Linked DNA regions of Caenorhabditis elegans. The protein of the gene in region 1 purifies or fractionates together with the protein of each later gene. This does not show direct contact. Each region holds a gene or a part of one and is shown in the gene's direction. Other genes may lie near its edges. The genes, in order: oaz-1, azin-1 and odc-1.

The links.
Region 2: the proteins of oaz-1 (region 1) and azin-1 purify together in Caenorhabditis elegans (co-purification; one study listed by BioGRID). This does not show direct contact.
Region 3: the proteins of oaz-1 (region 1) and odc-1 purify together in Caenorhabditis elegans (affinity purification with western blotting, with the first as the bait; one study listed by BioGRID). This does not show direct contact.

Annotation. Positions count from the first base shown.
Region 1 is NC_003279.8:6,090,526-6,095,628, forward strand, and holds oaz-1 (Ornithine decarboxylase antizyme), read left to right. Parts: upstream 1-2,781; 5' UTR 2,782-2,820; coding exon 2,821-2,891; intron 2,892-2,942; coding exon 2,943-3,000; coding exon of another isoform or gene 3,001-3,191; intron 3,192-3,305; coding exon of another isoform or gene 3,306-3,466; 3' UTR 3,467-3,912; downstream 3,913-5,103. Other genes in the region: ZK484.6 (Phosphoglycerate mutase family protein), read right to left, coding at 1-183, 229-332; ZK484.7 (Protein-tyrosine phosphatase), read right to left, coding at 4,606-4,734, 4,781-4,937, 4,981-5,103. UniProt on the Caenorhabditis elegans protein: Ornithine decarboxylase (ODC) antizyme protein that negatively regulates ODC activity and intracellular polyamine biosynthesis and uptake in response to increased intracellular polyamine levels.
Region 2 is NC_003279.8:3,828,125-3,835,569, forward strand, and holds azin-1 (Antizyme inhibitor 1), read left to right. Parts: upstream 1-2,437; 5' UTR 2,438-3,060; coding exon of another isoform or gene 3,061-3,183; intron 3,184-3,237; coding exon of another isoform or gene 3,238-3,346; intron 3,347-3,710; coding exon of another isoform or gene 3,711-3,753; 5' UTR 3,754-3,894; coding exon of another isoform or gene 3,895-4,011; 5' UTR 4,012-4,057; intron 4,058-4,116; 5' UTR 4,117-4,121; coding exon 4,122-4,744; intron 4,745-4,804; coding exon 4,805-5,446; exon of another isoform or gene 5,447-5,497; coding exon 5,498-5,666; 3' UTR 5,667-5,996; downstream 5,997-7,445. Other genes in the region: F53F10.8 (Transmembrane protein 234 homolog), read left to right, coding at 126-317, 367-558; F53F10.1 (Coiled-coil domain-containing protein 102A), read right to left, coding at 6,037-6,462, 7,003-7,075, 7,423-7,445.
Region 3 is NC_003283.11:6,897,338-6,903,003, reverse strand, and holds odc-1 (Ornithine decarboxylase), read left to right. Parts: upstream 1-2,780; 5' UTR 2,781-3,047; coding exon 3,048-3,502; intron 3,503-3,559; coding exon 3,560-3,860; intron 3,861-3,907; coding exon 3,908-4,420; 3' UTR 4,421-4,464; downstream 4,465-5,666. Other genes in the region: unc-68 (Ryanodine receptor), read left to right, coding at 1-452, 621-786, 835-988; K11C4.1 (non-specific serine/threonine protein kinase), read right to left, coding at 4,548-4,680, 4,727-4,885, 5,237-5,630. UniProt on the Caenorhabditis elegans protein: Catalyzes the first and rate-limiting step of polyamine biosynthesis that converts ornithine into putrescine, which is the precursor for the polyamines, spermidine and spermine.

The DNA of each region.
Region 1 (5,103 bases):
TTGCAAAGATACAGCGGCTCCATGAGCCCTGGCTCAACACAAATCTTCGCCTTGTTCTCCATCATTGCAACGATTTGAGCTGCCGTCTCGATGCATCTTGTGAATGGAGAAACCACGATCGCCTCGATATTCATGTTGGCAAAGTGCTTTCCAACCTCATGGGCTTGTTGTTTCCCGCGGAGACTGAAATCGTAATTATCTAAAACCAAACCCTTCATAACACCATACGTGAGCTCCGGATCATCCCATTTGGCATCGTTGTTCGCCTTCCACTTCTTGTCCACATTGTCCACGCGTTGTCCATGTCTCACCAACCAAATTGTACGACTCATGGCTCTTTTTCGTTGCGATTTTCGTTGAAATTCGAACTGATTTTTTAAAACTCTGGTGGAGAAGATTGACTTGCAACGTGGTATATTTTACATTTTTGATCAGCAATGTCACGTTTCTCTTGTAGTGGAAAAATTATTTTATGTTTTAACGTTAAAATTCTGATTCCGTTGGCGTTCTGTTTTTTTCCAACTACAGTAATTTGGTCTTAGAATTCATTAAAATCTGTTTCGAAAAAATCCAAAAGCGAGAATTGCGCCAACGACTTGCTGGCGCACTTCGCATTTTAGCTTGCGCGTTTCTCGTTTTCTTATCTCTCTCTCTAGAAAGTTTTTGAATGCATTTTTATAAGGATTCACTATTTTTTATGCTCTTACCACTGTATCCTTGTAAATCGTTTTTTTTGGTGAAGACCTCCTATCCCTTGAATTGCCGTTGATTGATTGTTTTGACCAGAAGCTGCACATCCAACTTCCGCATTTTTTAAGAAAAGAAAACAAGATCACATGGCCACCCGTGTCCTCCGAAGTTTTTCTGATTTGAAAAAAGTTGTTTGATCTATTATTTTAATTTAAAAACATTATAGCTGTTAGCTATAGATCTCAAACCCGATTTTCAAACATTGATAAGAACATTTCGGAGTTGGTAACATATCCCTTCTCTTCACGTTAAGACAACTTTCAAGATAAATATTTCAAATCCGTGACCATTCCCAATTCTTTGCTCTTTTCCCCTTGGAATTCGCCCTCCGAACAGCTGTGAAAACCAAAAACACGAACTTGACGCTGTTGAGATGTTTTTCGTCGTCTCGGTCACACAATCTGCGTCTCTGGCCTCAACCGCCGCCGCCTTCCGTCAATCAATGAAAAGCAAAGATAGATTGTATAAAGTTGAGAGATTCAGAGAAATTGCTGCTTCTCTGTTCTCTCCGTCAGCGCTTAAAAGCAGTGAAACGTGCCAATAGTTCTCCTTGATAACGACTCCCTTTTCTGGTTTTCTCTGTATCATTAGTACTTGAAAAGAAAGGAACTACGTACTCAATCTTTGATAATTGGTTGGTATACTGTCGTAATTTGTTGAATGATTTCGTAATAATTTAATTTTTATTTCTGGTTTCTGGTTTCTCTTAAAACTTACTCAAATCATTAATATTCCTATGCTCACATAAACTTAAAAGTTTTTCTTATCTGATCACAATCTAAATTAGGTCTGCAAATCATCTATCGAAAATCAATAATTATTTCGCAATAAAATAGGCGAAGAGCAAGTCTTATGACACTGTTATCTTTCCGGGAACATTCTCGGTCCACAATAGATAAGGCATCCAAATCATTCGATTCACTGTTTACACGTCGATCGATCTTGTTCTCCTTCTTCTCTATCTTCACTGTTTCACCTTCATTTTGCCTCAATAAGCTGTAGTGAAGTCATATGATTTTCTATTCTTTGTTGTCGAAATCGATTTTAATATAGAGTAGTTTCTAGTTTTACATTACTAAATCCACTCATTGATTCTATTGATCTCTCCTTTTTTAGGCGCAAATGTTTTGATTAATAATTACTTTCGATATCACAAGGCGCTGTTTGTCTGGTAATATTATGTTAGCTCCAGTTCTGATTAAAAATTTCCGTTAGAAAAAAGGTATTTTCGGAAAAGTATCCTAATGGCGTGAGTATACCAATTATTTGTATCATGGCAATTGAGCAGAACTGATAATCGAGTCCCACAGGGTTTACGATTTCTATTTGGATCTGATTTTGAAATGTGCAATAAGAAATAATCATCCCTACTTTCACTTTTGTAACGACCCATTTCGTCATTACCATATGACTTTCAAAGATCTGCGATGTGCACGTCACATATATTCATTCAAAATGGCGCCAGCAAGCCATTGAGCCAGAAAGAGCGTTTCTCTGTCGTCTCGCAATCTTTATGTCCCTCTGTTCCTCCGCCTCGCACTTCATTTATCGCCTGGTCACATGCTTCTTTGTGTTCACTCAATGTTCGTTCTGTATGTCTTGTGACAATTTACTTTAGAGGTTAATAACACAGAAATATAAGACAGTTCATTACTATGTCTGTTCTATAGATCTTCTTTGACATCAATACAACATTTTACGCTTTTAAGAATCAAAAGCCTCTAATTTCTATTTAAAAGCCACGAAGTAAATCAAATAATTGAACGAATCAAAAATCTCTTCTGACATGCTTTAATCTTTGGCATAAACTAATCGAATTATTCTAATTTATTTCTAGCATATTTGATTATAGGACACCGTAAATGTTGAGATTGGTTAAAATCAATTTTTAAACATCTGGGATACGAATCAGTTCTCTGGAATAATTTCTGATCACCACAACTATATTAATTTGTATTTCCGTTATGCTTCCTCGCCCTCGCCCACTCGTTCACTTTGCTTTTAAATCGATCTAATTCTTCTTAATTTCAGTTTCCCACCACCCGCTTCGTACCTATCAAGAGAGACAAGATGTCGAGTATTTTGAGTAGTAATTTTACGAATAAATCGAATCAATTGGTCAACGAGTCTGCCGTCGACAGGTGAGAATACAATGTGAAGGCAGTTTAAACAATAATATTTCGATTTTTCAGCTCGTTGACCGCCTCCCCATGCTCGACCCAGCCCGGCGACGTCGGATGGTGTTTTTGACGCCCCCCATGGCGTGCTCACCAAATTGCCGAACGAAACTCGCGCTATCGTATCGGCCGTTTCTCCAAACTGGCGCGTGACATCGATTGGCGAAAAGACATTGGCGATCATGATTCCACACGATCAACCGGTGCTCGGCATCTCTAAGAAGAACTTTGTGGACCTCTTGGAGTTCGCTGAAGACAAACTCGGTGAGTTCTATTTCAACCATTTCTAGATTTTCTACAAAGTTGTGTTTTTAAACGGAGAAATCCTGTTAAAAAGTTATATTCCCTGAGAAATGTTTGTAAACTTTTTTATTACAGAAATGGAGCGTGTTTTGGCTGTATTTGAGAAGGCTCGTATTAACCCAACGGAAGGATTCCCACGTACTCTTCGTTACGTCGGATTCCGTCCATATGCCATCGACGAGCATCCAGTTCATCTCCCAGCTGAAAAATACTTCATCATGAGCTACAAGGTCTAATGGATTCATCTCACCAATTTCTTTTCGTTTTATCGATTTCTCGCCGCTTTTAAAAATGTTATTTTTCTTTCTCTCACCTTTTTCTATACCAACCCCTCGAAAAAATGCACTTTAAAAACTTTCAAAAAATTTCCTCCTTCAAGAATTCTCTAGTATAATTCTCTAAATCTCTGTGTTCATGTAGTGTACAAATTCTTTAATTTTCCAGAAAAAATCCTTTTTGGCTATTTCTCTGATTATTTTTGCCCACCACACCCACTCCCATCCACAACCAGCTCATTCCTGTTTCTAAGAGATATTAGTGACCGATGCTTCCTGAGAAATTCTCTTTTTTTTAAAACATTCTTTAAATTAATCCCTCCTTTCCCACCACTTTTCTGTCCACGCGCCAGCTTTTTTGGAGAAACGAATAAATTGTCAAAAAAAAAACGATTTTGTAGAGAAATGTTCAAAATGCTCCGCCCATCATGAATTGGGTATCGTTAGGTCGATTACGCAAATGCGAAATTTTGAGACTATCTTACAAAAGTACGAAGCAAAAATACACTAGCGGGTCTCGACATGATCAATTTTCTTAAATTTGAAAGTGTGCGCCTTTAAGGAGTACTGTACGTGCAAGCTTAGGTTGCTCCGGAATTTTCATATTTTTTCCATAGTTTTGCTATACTATCAATTTATCAACAAAAAAAAACTATTTTTAGAAAAAGCTTGGAAGCATGAGAAAAACTATAATCAATGAAAATTAGGCAGAAACGAGAGTTTGATAATACAGTACTCTTTAAAGGCGCACACTCTTACATTTAATAACAAACAATTTTTGCGTCTGGGAATACCACTAGACCAGCATGGTAAAATAAAATATCGCAAAACAAAAAAAAGTTAGCGATTTTTTTGTGTTTTAGAAAAATCAGCCTGGTGAAACTCTCTGTTTGAGTTTCGAGACGAGAACTTCAAAAGGCCTCTTGGGTCCAACAATTTTAATTTTGAAGAATAGTTTTCCACTTCAAAAGATAGAATTAAGATTCTTTTCAGAGTTGGTGAACTTTCATTTCAAACAAAAAACTTTTCGAAAGGTAGAACTTTTTTATTCGAATACGAGACTATTTGGTAGTTCAAGAATTGTAAGACGGCAGGTATATTTAGTGAACGGACTTCATGTACTTCTCTGTGAATGCAAGATGAGCCAGCTTCACATCAACATCAAACATCTTTTTATCCAGACAATAGTTCAGGATTACTTGATGCACGAATAAATATTGTTGGTCTGTCTGAAAATAATATTATTTAATTTTTAAGCATATTGCAGTTGCAAACCTGAATAGAGTTGTTCCGCTGCTCACGGATCTTTTGCAAAATCTTGTCGGTTTCTTCGATTTGCTGACCACCAAGCAATTGATCCAAAATGTACTCGATCATGACCACTGAGCCGGTACGACCGATTCCTGCCGAGCAGTGGACAACGGTGGGACCCCTGAACAGAGCGATTGGCATGAGTATACTGGAACAACACTTACTTGGAAGGTCTTGTTTTCGCCAGAAGCTCCACAATTGCCATATCAGCAGTTGGCACTCCACGATCGGGCCAATCAATCCAGTGATACTGGGTGACTTTCTGAGCGAGTCCACCGGGTCCTTCT
Region 2 (7,445 bases), 2.3 Mb from region 1:
AATAAAATTTGAATTTAAACCCTTTTCTTCGATATCATATGTGGATTAACTCTTAGAAATATTTTTATTTTTTAACACAAGTTGAGCTTCGAACTTCCCTAATAACAAAACACTAAGCTTCCTGAATGTCGGAATGCGGTGTCCAATGTATTCTATCAATAATCGTTGTTGGATTTGTGTGGGGAGCTACTAATCCATTGCTCAGAGCAGCCTCAAAAGATCTGGAGAACAAAAAGAATGGAATAATCCTGGGATTTTTGAAATCTTTTCTCAACTGGAGATTCTCAATCCCTTTCGCTCTTAATCAATCTGGATCGGTGAACAAAACACATTGAACAAGTTATATAGAATAACAATGTATTTTAGGTAATGTTCAACGCTCTTGTTGTAAACTTTCCTGTTACTGTTGTTGTTCCGTGTGTGAATGCGATTCAGTTCATCGCAACAATTACAGTCGGGTGGTTGATGGGAGAGAAAATGCAGGTGTCCACAAGGAAGCAGAAAATTGGAATGACCATTTCATCGTTGGCAATTATTGGAATGCTGATTATCGATTAAATTAAATGTGAAAAAAAACGTTATTTTCATGTAAAACGCACTTTTTAGACGGAAAAAGTCAAATTTTCAGCCAAAATTTTGCTGAAATTTCAAAGAACCATATAAATCCGATTTTTTGTATTTGGTGAGGCTCACACTACCAACTACAATCAATTTTAGTCTCTAAATACCATTGCTCTGGTTGCGTGTCTGGAAAATCTCAAAGTTTTCATTTTCAGGATCGAGGAGACGCCGGAGTTCCACCAAAACGAGCACGCCACGGAAATTGATGCACAGAATCTCAATTTGTTCCCTTTATTCACCTAATTTATAGATTTTTTTTCTTAAAATTACAATTTTTATCGCTTTTTCTGAATTTTAACCCCCCAAAACATCAAAAACTCGTCGATCTCTGTAATGTCCTTCCCGATTCCCATGATATTTAAATGTTTCCTCCTTTTTTGATGTTTCTTCCCCGATTTTTCCCGAAAAAAATACAATTGTAACTTGTCGACAAATACGTGTGTTATCGATTAAAGTTTTATTTATCGATTAAATTCTCTCTGTGAAATTCGTTTGAATAATAATTTATTTGCCTTTCTTTCTTGAGCAGTTTTTGCTTTTCGGGTTTCCTTTTTTCAGAAAATAAAAATATTTTTTATAATATTTTGAATTGAATCAACATTAGCTATAGCTATAGCTTCATCGATTTGTTGTCCAAGAATCAGAAAATATTTATTTACAAAATGCATTAATGATATCATCTGACGAGAGACTGTGCGAAAGTGAGAGGTTCAAGACACTTTCGCAATAAAGCGTGTTTGCATTGCCGCGTTTTTCTTGAATTTTTTTTATTTCGGTCGAAATATTCCTTAGTTTTTCTCCTTTTAAACGAATTTCAGTTCATTTTTCACACGAAATTTGCTCCGCGTTGTTCTCTTACAATTTTCTACGATTTTTGTGTAATCGATTGAAAAGTGTAACTCGATAATTAGCGCGTTTTATCAGATCCCCAATATCTCAAGCTCTATTCCCAGAAAGTTTAATGATTACGAAGCGAAGAACATTAAAAAAACTCGTTTGCTGACCACCACGGTGTCATGTGACCACTTTTCTTCCGCGACAGCCTTCGAAAACACGCCAAAATAGAAGAGCGCGGAATTGTGATGCATGCTCTCGGAGCCCCCGCTTCTCTGCTCTCTGGCCCCAAGTCTGCGTCTCGATTCTCTTGGAAAAATTTCTTTTTTTCTCTTTTCTATCACAAGCCGCCCGCACAATTTTTTCCTCTCGGCTTCATTTTCCAATCAGTCACCAGATTTTTTCTTAATTGTCTTCTGCCCTTGTCTGCTGTTCAGGATGAACTTTGTTCGGGAGCTTCTGCGGAAATTCATAATTTTCAAAGACTTCCAGCTTTGAAAGTTATCTTTTAAGTAAAAAATCAAAAAAAAATCTAAAATTTCGCAACTTCTCTCAACTCACACTCACGTGCCAAGGTCATTCACACTTTCTCTCGCCAGTAAAATCAAATTGTGATAAAAATAACTTGATAAATTAAATATTCAATTATTTAATATTATTTTTAAATTTAAAAAACTATCAAATTTCTTCGTAATTGAAAACGGCTGACGGTATACCGATCTTATATCGCGACCTCCCTCCTTATCAAACGCCAAGTTTCACAAGCAACTTGCCATTTGTCTTTTAAAAATCACTTTGCCTTCTTTCTTATCTTTTCCATAGAAATTTTTTTTGCGGAGCAGATTATTCTAAAAATCAATCAATTTCTAGCATTTCGCTCCTATTCATTTTTCTTGTGACCGGAAGTTAATTCAATTTCTATTTAGAATCAATCAAAAACCTTGTGTTTGTTACGCAATGCTCTTTTCTGAATTTCGTTGTTTGTTCCCCATAAAAATAAAAGTTCTAAACACCATCAAAACACCGGTGTTCGTGTTTTTCGGTCGCTTTTTTTCGATTTTTGAACTGTGTCTGTTGCCGCCTCCTTCTAGGGACGAACGGAAAACAACTGACTCTCTGACATCATCACAGGATATCTTTAAGAAGCTGCTTCCCTCTTTTTCTTTTTCTTGTGTGTGCGTTATTCTAGAAAATTCAAAAAGTTTGTGTGACGTCGTTCCTCGTGACACTCTTCTTATCATTTAGAACTGCTTGCTCTATACAGTTTTCTGATTACAAGTCATCTCTTTCTTTGTCTACTTTCCTAATTCTGACAGGCATTATTAGCATTTTCTATAGAAAGAACATCACATAACGATGGTTACGTGGAAGTTTAAAGGTATTTCAACAGAAAATCGATAAATGTTGAATTTTTCCACGCATCAAAATCAATAAAATAAAATTATATTGTGTCGGTTATCTTACGTTTCGTATTCTCTTCCTCCTAATTTCTCCATTAACACCATCAATCAATCCAATCAATAATTTTTCCAAATAGAATCCGTGCCCCGTCGTGCTCGGATTTGAACTCGATACCTTGCGTGTGAACTACTAACACAAATCGTCTTGTTCCGTGCACTCCAAGGGAGAGAGTGTGCATGGAAGCTTGCCCGAACTGTCCCCAATTCGTCCAAGATTCCCTCCGCCGAGGAATCTAACGAGTCTTCCATACCGCCCTTAAGTGGCGCTGTGAGTTTTTTTTTGTAATATTTGAATTCTCAGAAAATAGTTGTTTTATTACAGGTAGTCGATCAGATCTCTAAGATCTACGCGGAGCCTCAACTTCGCGCCAGTCAAATCCAACTCGACAAGAACGCCGAGCCACCTTGGGATCCAGATCCGAAAGCCTGAGGTTAATACAGTGAATTTTCTTATGTGCTTCTACGAGTTTACATAAGTGCAAAACGGTGTTGTCACGCTCGTCGAATTAATTTAAAATATTTGGTGTGCGCGCCTTTAAGATTAATGTACAGATTTTTCTTTCAAATCTCAGCCGATTTTTCTAGTGTATTTTATAGTTTTTGTGTTATTTATTTATTTAACTGAAATAGATAGTTATTTGCACACAAAATCTTAACAGTAATCTTAAAGGCGCATACATCAAATATTCTAGATTTCGCGCACGTGCCGAGACCATGTTGCTATCGTGTACCTTAAACTCGTAGAAGTAGACATTTGACCAAAAATGTTTCTAAAAATGATTTAACAAATTTCAGACGTCAACTCTGTTCTTCAATCGCTTCCCGTTCTGCCGACTGACCGACTCTCTCTCTTCACATCTATAACCTTTTCTTCATTTTCTATTCAATCGCCCAGTAGCGTGCGTACGAGCCGGTAATCAATAGACCGCCTCGTTTCGCCCGTTTTCCTGGTCTTCCGTCAATTATCAAAATTTCGACGGTGACCTCATCTCATTCCTCGTCTCCAGCCCGTCTCTGTCCTCCGGACGACGTCTCGTGGATCTCGCGTGAAGAGCTCGCATCGCGTGTTTCCAACAACCGTCACATCCCGCCATAACTTGGCACATTCAATTTCCCCATTAAACAACAAATCGATATAAAATGTGAGTTTAATTAATTATTTTTTTCAAGAATATAGCTGTTAATATAAATATTTTTTCAGAACTGATGGTGAGACACCGCCTTCCTTCGTCTACCTACTACACTCCGGCTGGCGAGCCGGAATGGTCTCGTGAGATGTTCGGTGAGCAATCGATTGCCGTTCTCTCTGGAGCCTACCGTAATCCAATCGAAATGGCTCGCCACGTCGCCGCTCGTTGTGGTTCCTATCAACCATTTTTTGTGATGGATGTCGCTGCCATCGAACGACGTCTTGAAGCACTTCGTGTGATGCTTCCAAGAGTTCGTCCCAACTATGCAGTCGCTTGTAATGCTGATCCAGTGTTGGCTAGAGTTCTCTCGAACAACATCGATGTCAACTTTGAAGTGTCGAATACTGCAGAACTCGAGTTAGTCAGCATGAATGTCGAACCATCGAGAGCAGTTTTCTGCTCACAACTGATGACTCGTAAAGCTATCAAAAATGCTGTTTTGGCTGGATGCTCCACTTTTGTTGTAGAAAGCGAGAAACAAGTTACCGATGTGATGAATGCATCACCAGAAGCTGAAATCATCCTAGCTGTCTGTCTTCCATACTCGACTGGAGAAGTTCCATTCGGATGCTCAGTTGATGAGATTGAGGAGATTCTAGATATGGCTCATCTTCTTGGTGCAAATGTTACCGGAATCTAGTAAGTTAAACTTTTTTTAAAATTTCCAAATCATATCTTAACAAAAGTACATATTTTCAGTCTCGAACTTGGACTTCGTGCCACCCTGGAGGACTACATCACATCAGTTCACGATGCTCGCTCGATCTTCGAAACTGCTGATCAAAAGTTCCTGACACTCCGTCGTGTCTGCTTTGGGAATCTCTCTGTTCCAACTGGAGCCGATGGAGCTGTGAATAATGAATTCATGTCATTTTGCAACTCTCTCAACAATGTCATTGATGACCTATTTGAATCTAATATTGATTTCTCTGCAAGCATCGGACGTTTCCTTGTGACAAATGCATTCACATTGTGCACAAATGTTATTGGAAAACGTGCAATGGACGCCAAATTTATTACAAACGATGATTTCGATGATGGAGTTGGATTTGTATATCAAACCAATGATGGTGTATATGGATCATTTGGATGCAAGCAAATGGATATTAAACCATTGTGTAAACCATTGGATGTTGAGAATGACTCTGAAGAGCAACTACATTTCGGAACGATTCTCGGCCCAACTTTGGATGGAACCGATGTTGCTCAAAGACTCATGAAAAGCCGTCAATTGCGTGTCGGCGAGTGGCTCGTTTGGGAACAAATGGGCGCTTTCACAATTCCTGTTGACAGTGAGCATTCGGTGCCGCCTGTGTATTACTATTCTGGAAAAGAATGCTGGTGAGAACTTTTGAACCTTGAGATTTTGAAATTAAATTTGAATTATTCCAGGCAAAAACTAATCCACAAAGATGAACAACGCCGTTCTCCATCGCCAAGTGTCAGTGACAACGAAGATATTGGAAGTGATGGTGAAGGTGGCTACGCATCTTCATGTGAGGATTCGGAGGCGGAGATGGCTTTGGAGCCATTGATCGAGGATTTGAACGAATTCTTTTGATTGTTCCTAAGACTCCCCTGCTCATCCTGGAGACACAAATAATATTCAAATATTCCCCATTTATATTTCAAAAACTTTCTAGGTCATTTTTCTTCTTTTAATTCCTATTTTCTATTTCTCGAAACCTGTCCGTGATCCAATCTGTCTTTTTCAAACTAAAAAATCTTGATTCCAATTTTTTTCTCTCGATTTCTCTTTTTTTGCTCTTTCGGATTGTGTTATATTCCTGATTTCCTGAATTTTTTCCTGAAATTTCATATGTTTCCTGACCACGAAATTTGAATTTGAATTCGAATTCCTTTGAAAAAAGAAATAAAGGTCGAAGAAGTTAAAATAGTTTATTTTATTTACTCAAAAAAAAAAGAAACATTTAGGAACTGCTTGCTCTTTTTGAATTTTTTGCCGCCATCAGCTCCCTCTCCATACTTTGGATTCGTAAACGGAGATCCTGGATTGTCTTTCCATCGGTTTCAATCTTCTCTCGACACTTGTTCAACTCATTCGCCTGATCCTTCAGGAATTCATTTTCAGCCTTCAATTCTTCATTTATATCGGATTTAGTCGTCTCAACGGGCGGCTCATCGACACTTGGCTCACGAAGAACTGCTTCAATTTGAGCCGCCGAATAACTTTTGACTAGAATTGATGGAGGATCACATGAAATTGAATGAATTGTCTGAACAACTGCATTTCGTTTGGTTCCGTCGATTTCTGGTTTTTGAGAGATTTCGAGTTTTGGCTCGTCGGATTCCGAGTCGACGTGGTACAGTTGTTCCGCTAGAAATCTCTTTTCTTCCTGAAAAAATGTTTAAAATTTAAAATTTAGCAATGGGTCCAGGCACGAATGAAATGTTCCAACTACCGTACCCGCAGCAGTTATTCTAGCAATTTTCGCTGAATTTCCCATTAAAACTATTAAACGCGATGGTACGGTTGCTGTAAAGTTCGTATTTATAGTACCAGGACCTAATTGTATTATGGAAACTATTATGGGAACACCGAATTCCGAAAATACGTATTGCGCAACATATTTGACGCGCAAAATATCTTGTAGCGAAAACTACAGTAATTCTTTAAAATACTACTGGCCCGATTTTGCGTTGTTTTTTTCTCATTTATTGGTGAAAATTTTTAGAATAGCATCGAATTGAAAAAAAGCACGAAAAAGTACACGAAAATCTGTGCTACAGTAGTCATTTAATGGATTACTGTAGTTTTCGCTACGAGATATTTTGCGCGTCAGATATGTTGCACAATACGCATTCTCAGAATTTTGTGTTCGCGTAATATATGAATTGCGCAATAACATGCAAGAGAAAAAAGAAGAAAAACCTACGAGGAGAAGATCATAATTGAGTCGTAATGTTTCAGCTTCTTCACGAGCACGATTCCTCTCGTCTCGAACAGCACTGAAAATTAAAATTTCCAATTTCTTTTAACAATTATCTTTAAACAAAACGTTTTTAGGGATTCCATAGGAGTTTCAGAACGTCCCACAGAACGAAGATTTCTACGTGGACTTGATAAACTAAGCAATTTATCTACAACTTTTCACCCCAAAATTTTCTGAAATTTTCCGAAATGAGTTCAACTCTCCACTGCGGGAAAATTTTTTTACAAATTTTTTCCACCCAAAAAAAAGGGAAACGAAAAAAAAAGTTTCTAACTCATTTTATGAGGGTGGCCGAGTTTTTTTAGTTTTCGCACCCATAAGAGGAGAGAGAAATAATAGGCGCCCCCGTACCGTCTAACTTACCTCCATCGATTCCTCCAGTCTGC
Region 3 (5,666 bases), on another chromosome or scaffold:
CAATGGGCAATTCCTGTACCGTGTTGGATACCTTCTCTGCTCAGCGTGCGGAGTGTTCCTATCACCATTCTTCTACGCTTTCCACTTGATTGACGTCGTGCTCTCATTCCCTATGTTAAAGGCTATTCTTCAATCAGTTACACACAACTTGCAACAACTCATTCTCACCATCATGATGACACTTGTAGTCGTGTATCTCTACACTGTCATCGCGTTCAATTTCTTCCGTAAATTCTATGTTCAAGAGGGTGAAGAGGGCGAAGAGCCAGATCGAAAGTGTCACAATATGCTCACCTGTTTCATTTACCATTTTTATGCCGGAGTGCGTGCCGGTGGAGGTATTGGAGATGAGCTCGAGAGTCCATATGGCGACGATTTGGAATATCCAAGAATGTTCTACGACATCTCATTCTTCTTCTTCGTCATTATTATTCTTCTTGCTATCATGCAGGGTAAGTCGCTGAACTTCATCACCAACTTTGAAACAAAATAGTGCTCTCTGATTCTGATTCCACTTGAAAATAGCTCTCAAAAACTTCGAGGGTTATCAATTCTAAATTGAACTGTCGCTTTGATAAAATATGATGCAACATCCTCTTCCAAAAATTGAACATTTTTAGGTTTGATCATCGACGCTTTCGGAGAGCTTCGTGATCAACAAGAATCTGCAACTGAGAAGCTCGAGTCATCATGTTTCATTTGCGACATCGGCAAAGAAACGTTTGATCGGATGCCTCGAGGCTTCGAAATTCACACCACCAAAGAGCACAACTTTGCCAATTACCTGTATGTTAAATGCTTTTATTCAACTGTTCTAACTTTTCAAACTTCTAGGTTCTTCTTACAACATCTGGTCAACAAAGACGAAACAGAGTACACTGGTCAAGAAACGTACGTACGTGAGAAGTACGATAATCGAGACTGGGACTTCTTCCCTGTCGGAGAGTGTTTCGTCAAACAGTACGAGGATCAATTGCTCCAATCATAAAAAATCTTTCATCAGCAGAATTCTTAATAGAACAAATGTTTCGGGTCAACTCAATGTTTAGGTGTTATTCGTTCCAATTCTCATCACTAGTATTTTTCGATTCTGATATTCTTTTTCAATTTTTTATGGAATATGTCGTTCTTCGTTATTATTCAGAATTGAGCGACGTTTTTAGTCTGTTTAATTGTTATATTTTTTCAACGTTTCAAACAACCAAATCATAACTTCAAACGTGCCTTAGCGAACCACTTTGGGTGATAAACAACTATTTTTGTATTTTCTAGTTTCATTTTATATGTTTTAATAATAATAAAAATTATGAACAAATAACAAATTTCATCATTTCAAAAATGATGGTGAGTATAAAACTTCCGGTGTCTAAACGTGAAGTTTAATAGCATTTTTAGGCAAGAAAACCGCCATTCTAGTCTTACTTTTTGAAAGGTCCCAGTATTCTATTAAAACTGCTTTTTAAATTTATGGTACGGATACTTTGTCAAATCAGAAGCATGAAAATCACATGATCTCTGATCAACTCCCTTTTTGAAAGCGAGTCCAAAGAACAGTTTTTGATAAGCTGATTCATGGAATGGAATGTCGTTGAAATATTTTCAAACAATGCATTTTGCAGCTCCTCGAGTCTGAGACTTGCACCACATAAATGTCACAAAAGAATCAAAAAGAAGTAGTTTGTGGTGTGTGTGAAGACGATCGACGCATAACAATGGGGCAATGTGATATTATCACATTGATATGCAAATTGATAAATTATAAATGGACCAGGTACGGTAGAGACCAACTACGTCGCCGAACAATCAAACGACTGAGATTCGTCACGAAGTTAAAGGAGACCAGAATAGGCCCCAGATGCCGTAAATAAATTGACGTTTGTGATAGTTACACGGGTCGAGTGCACTCGCCAAGAAATCAAAGACGGGGGAAAACGAGAAAATGAAGCTGGGCGAATGTGTTACAGAAGAGGGTGGAAACGTGACTAATTGTTGACCGAATTCATGTGAACAAGAGAAGGTTGTTATAAATGATGGGAAACGTAAGCTGATGTCAGTTGTATGTTTTCTATACAATGTTATCATTAGACTAGTCAGATCAAAGTTTTCCTTTCGATTTTATATTTTCGCAATCACACGTTTGTACTGTTTCGTTAGTTTTTAACGATCGGTCAGAATTTTATGTAGGTGTATGCTCTAAATTAGAATAGGCCAGCTTCATTTGAAAATTTTAATTATTTTTGCTTTAAAAATGTTTTTATTGGTTCAGAAATAAGTCACAGTATAGCACATAAAACCTTGTTACTGCTCCAAAACTCGAGTTGGCCTAATACAACAAACGTCACTCTAAACCACTATAATGCCATCTGGTATATACAGGTACATTGCACTCGGACGTTCTATCTTTGTCTTTTGATCGCCACCCGTCTCCTCCTCCCCGTCATAAAACGCGGGTACACCCTGCACCCATTGTTCATGACTGGCATCCCCCAACCGCTACACCACATCATCACCATTTCCTCTCTCCAAAGTTGACTCCGCCTATTTCCTGCCAACAGTATAAATAGATACACGGTGGTCAGTGATAAGCCATTCCGTCTCGTTATTAGATCGTATCGTCTATGTGTACATTTCTTCGATTGACCAACACCTCGTTTCTGTCTACTGCGTGTGTGCCCTTTTTCTTATACACGCAAAAAATTTTCGAGCAATTTGACCTACATTTTCTAACTGTTTTTTCGATCTCCATTGTTTCTATCAATTCTAATATGTTTTTTTTTCAGTTCTTAACGTTGTGGCTAACCGTCAGAGTTTGCTAGCAGCGTTTTGATCTTACACCTGGGAAGACCCATTGCCAGAAAATCTCTCGTGTTGACGAATCAAAGAGGCTAGCGGCGTCCGCAGCCCGGCTTCCGGCTTACATCCCCACAGATATCGACTTCGACGGAATCGTCGTCGTATCTGCCGTCTGCTACAAGTACATCTACGATCCTTTGCGTGCAGGAGCGCCTCCTTGGAGCTGAGATCCCCCAACTCTAATAACTTGAAAAATGATTTCTCAATTCGAAATTATTGGTGACAACAAGATTGGCGTGCTTCCAAAGCAAGTTGATCAACTCCAAATGTGCCGTGACATTGCTGCCAGCAAGGATTTGCAAGAAAATGACTCTTCTTTCATGCTCGTTGACCTTGATAAGATTATCGAGAGATTCCAGCTTTGGAAGAGAGAGCTCCCGATGATTGAGCCATTTTATGCAGTCAAGTGCAACACTGATTTGGTTCTTATTCGCATTCTTGCCTCTCTGGGATGTGGATTCGATTGTGCTAGCAAAGATGAAATCGATATTGTTATGGGGACCGGTGTTTCTGCGGAACGTATCATCTATGCCAACCCATGCAAAACACGCAGTTTTATTGCTCACGCAATGGACCGTGATGTCAAAATGATGACTTTTGATAACCCGGAGGAACTTCTTAAAATTGCCAAGCTTCATCCAAATGCTGAGTAAGTTTAAACATAAATTCTTGATTGGAAAAGTTAAATTATTTTCTAAATTTTCAGAATGATCCTCCGCATTGCTGTATCTGACCCAACTGCTACGTGCCCACTCAATTTGAAGTTTGGAGCCGACCCAATTATTGCTGCACCACAACTTCTTAAGACGGCTTCCGAAGAGGGAATTAATGTTGTTGGGATTTCTTTCCACGTTGGATCGGGATGCAACGACGCATCTGCCTACAGGAATGCTCTTCAGCATGCCAAGAACTTGTGTGAGATTGGAGAAGGGCTCGGATTCAAGATGGATATTATTGATATGGGTGGTGGATTTCCAGGAGCCGAACATCATAACCCATTCGAGAAGGTAAATTTTAAAACTACTAAGTTCTAATGTAATTAATTTTTTTTCAGATTGCCGAGACAATTCGTGATGCTCTTGATGAGTTCTTTCCAGACACCAACAAGCGCCTGATTGCTGAACCAGGAAGATTTTTCGCAGCCGGTCCATTTTCTCTTGTTGCAAACATCATTCATGCCACCGAGGTTCCTGCTTCCAAAATCACAAAGGATCCAAAAGACTGCGCTGATCATGGATACATGTACTACATCAACGACGGAGTCTACGGATCGTTCAACTGCATCCTCTTCGATCATGCTCATCCAATCGGATCCCCGCTTTTTGACACTGATCGCAACGAGAAGTTCATGTCAACAATCTGGGGGCCAACTTGCGACAGTCTAGATCTTGTCGAGGATAAGAAGTTGATGCCAAAGATGAATGTTGGAGAATGGCTCTACTATCCGGACATGGGAGCGTACACTCTTGCCGCTGCCACCACGTTCAATGGATTTTCGAAGCCTGTGCCGATGTATGTGATGAGCGAGGAAATGTGGGAGAGCATTCGTGACTCAACTCATGTTTGATTCTTGTCTAAATTATTGTGTCGGAAAATAAATATTCTTTTGTTAGCATTCTTGTTGATTTCGAAACTTGATCACAAAAAAAGGAACAAAAAGTGTGATCTTTCATTTAACGACAATCGAAGTTCTATTATTTCACAGCATACTCAGCCTCCCAATCGTACGGAAATTCTTGGATATTTCTGGTTTGCATCAGTCTTTTCAGTGTTGAATAGATTAATCCATAATTGGGCTCCATGAAGAATGAAAGACCATCGATATGGCTAGAAATTGAATATTACGAATAAGTACATTTTTGTAGAGACTAACTTCATGATCAGGCGATACTCATCTACCGGACATCCAGCCAATAATTGAGTCACGAGTGGATCAAAACGAGAGTTCTTCTTCATTTCACCAACCTGTGGGATCTCATTCACAACTTTCCAAGGAAGAGCTGCATTGGTAAAGTCGACGAGCATATAGAACCTAAAAAAACATGTATATTTTCAAATTTAAAAAAAACTGGGTTTTAATCGCGTCGTTCCCTGACAACTCAAGCGGGCGTTCAGATAATTTTTCATTCACAAAATTCTGCAGTGGGGTCCCAGGGAAATGAACGGTTGGAGAATGGACAGAGAAATGGGCAGGAAAAAATTTGTATTAAAACGTGTTTCAGGTGTTGTATTATAGAATCGATAAGTAGCCTTATGCATGTGTTCATTGCCACCCTTGCCACGTGGTTCGAATTTCTTTTCGGACTATTTTTCTGTTTCTCTCTTTGCTCTCAAAATTTTAACGTCCCATGTATGGGGAATAGGGTAAATTTCAGTAAATTACCAGCTTTCGACGTCATCCTTTCTTCCATGTTCCGCTCTATTATGAGATGCGATTGGCGCATAGCGAGGTGTTCCCCGATATGGAGCCTTCCGTCTCGGCTGCAACATCACATTTCGGTCATCCACAAATTTTCGGCACAATCCGAAATCGAGAACGAAGATCTTGCGGAGCTCGCCGAGTTCTGCTCTTCCGAGACAGAAGTTGCCAGGCTTCACGTCTCGATGCAAGAACCCACACCAATGTAGCTCTTCCAAGGCCTCCAAACACTGGATCGAAGCTCCGATCGCTGAACCCAATGTCAAATGGCCATCTGGTCCTGTTTTCTTTGCATCTTGCAGGGATTTTCCAAGAAATTTCATGACAATGTAGTTGAAGTTCTCGTGGCGTCCCTTGTCTGAATAATAGAGTTTAGACTTTCTTTTCAAGAGAA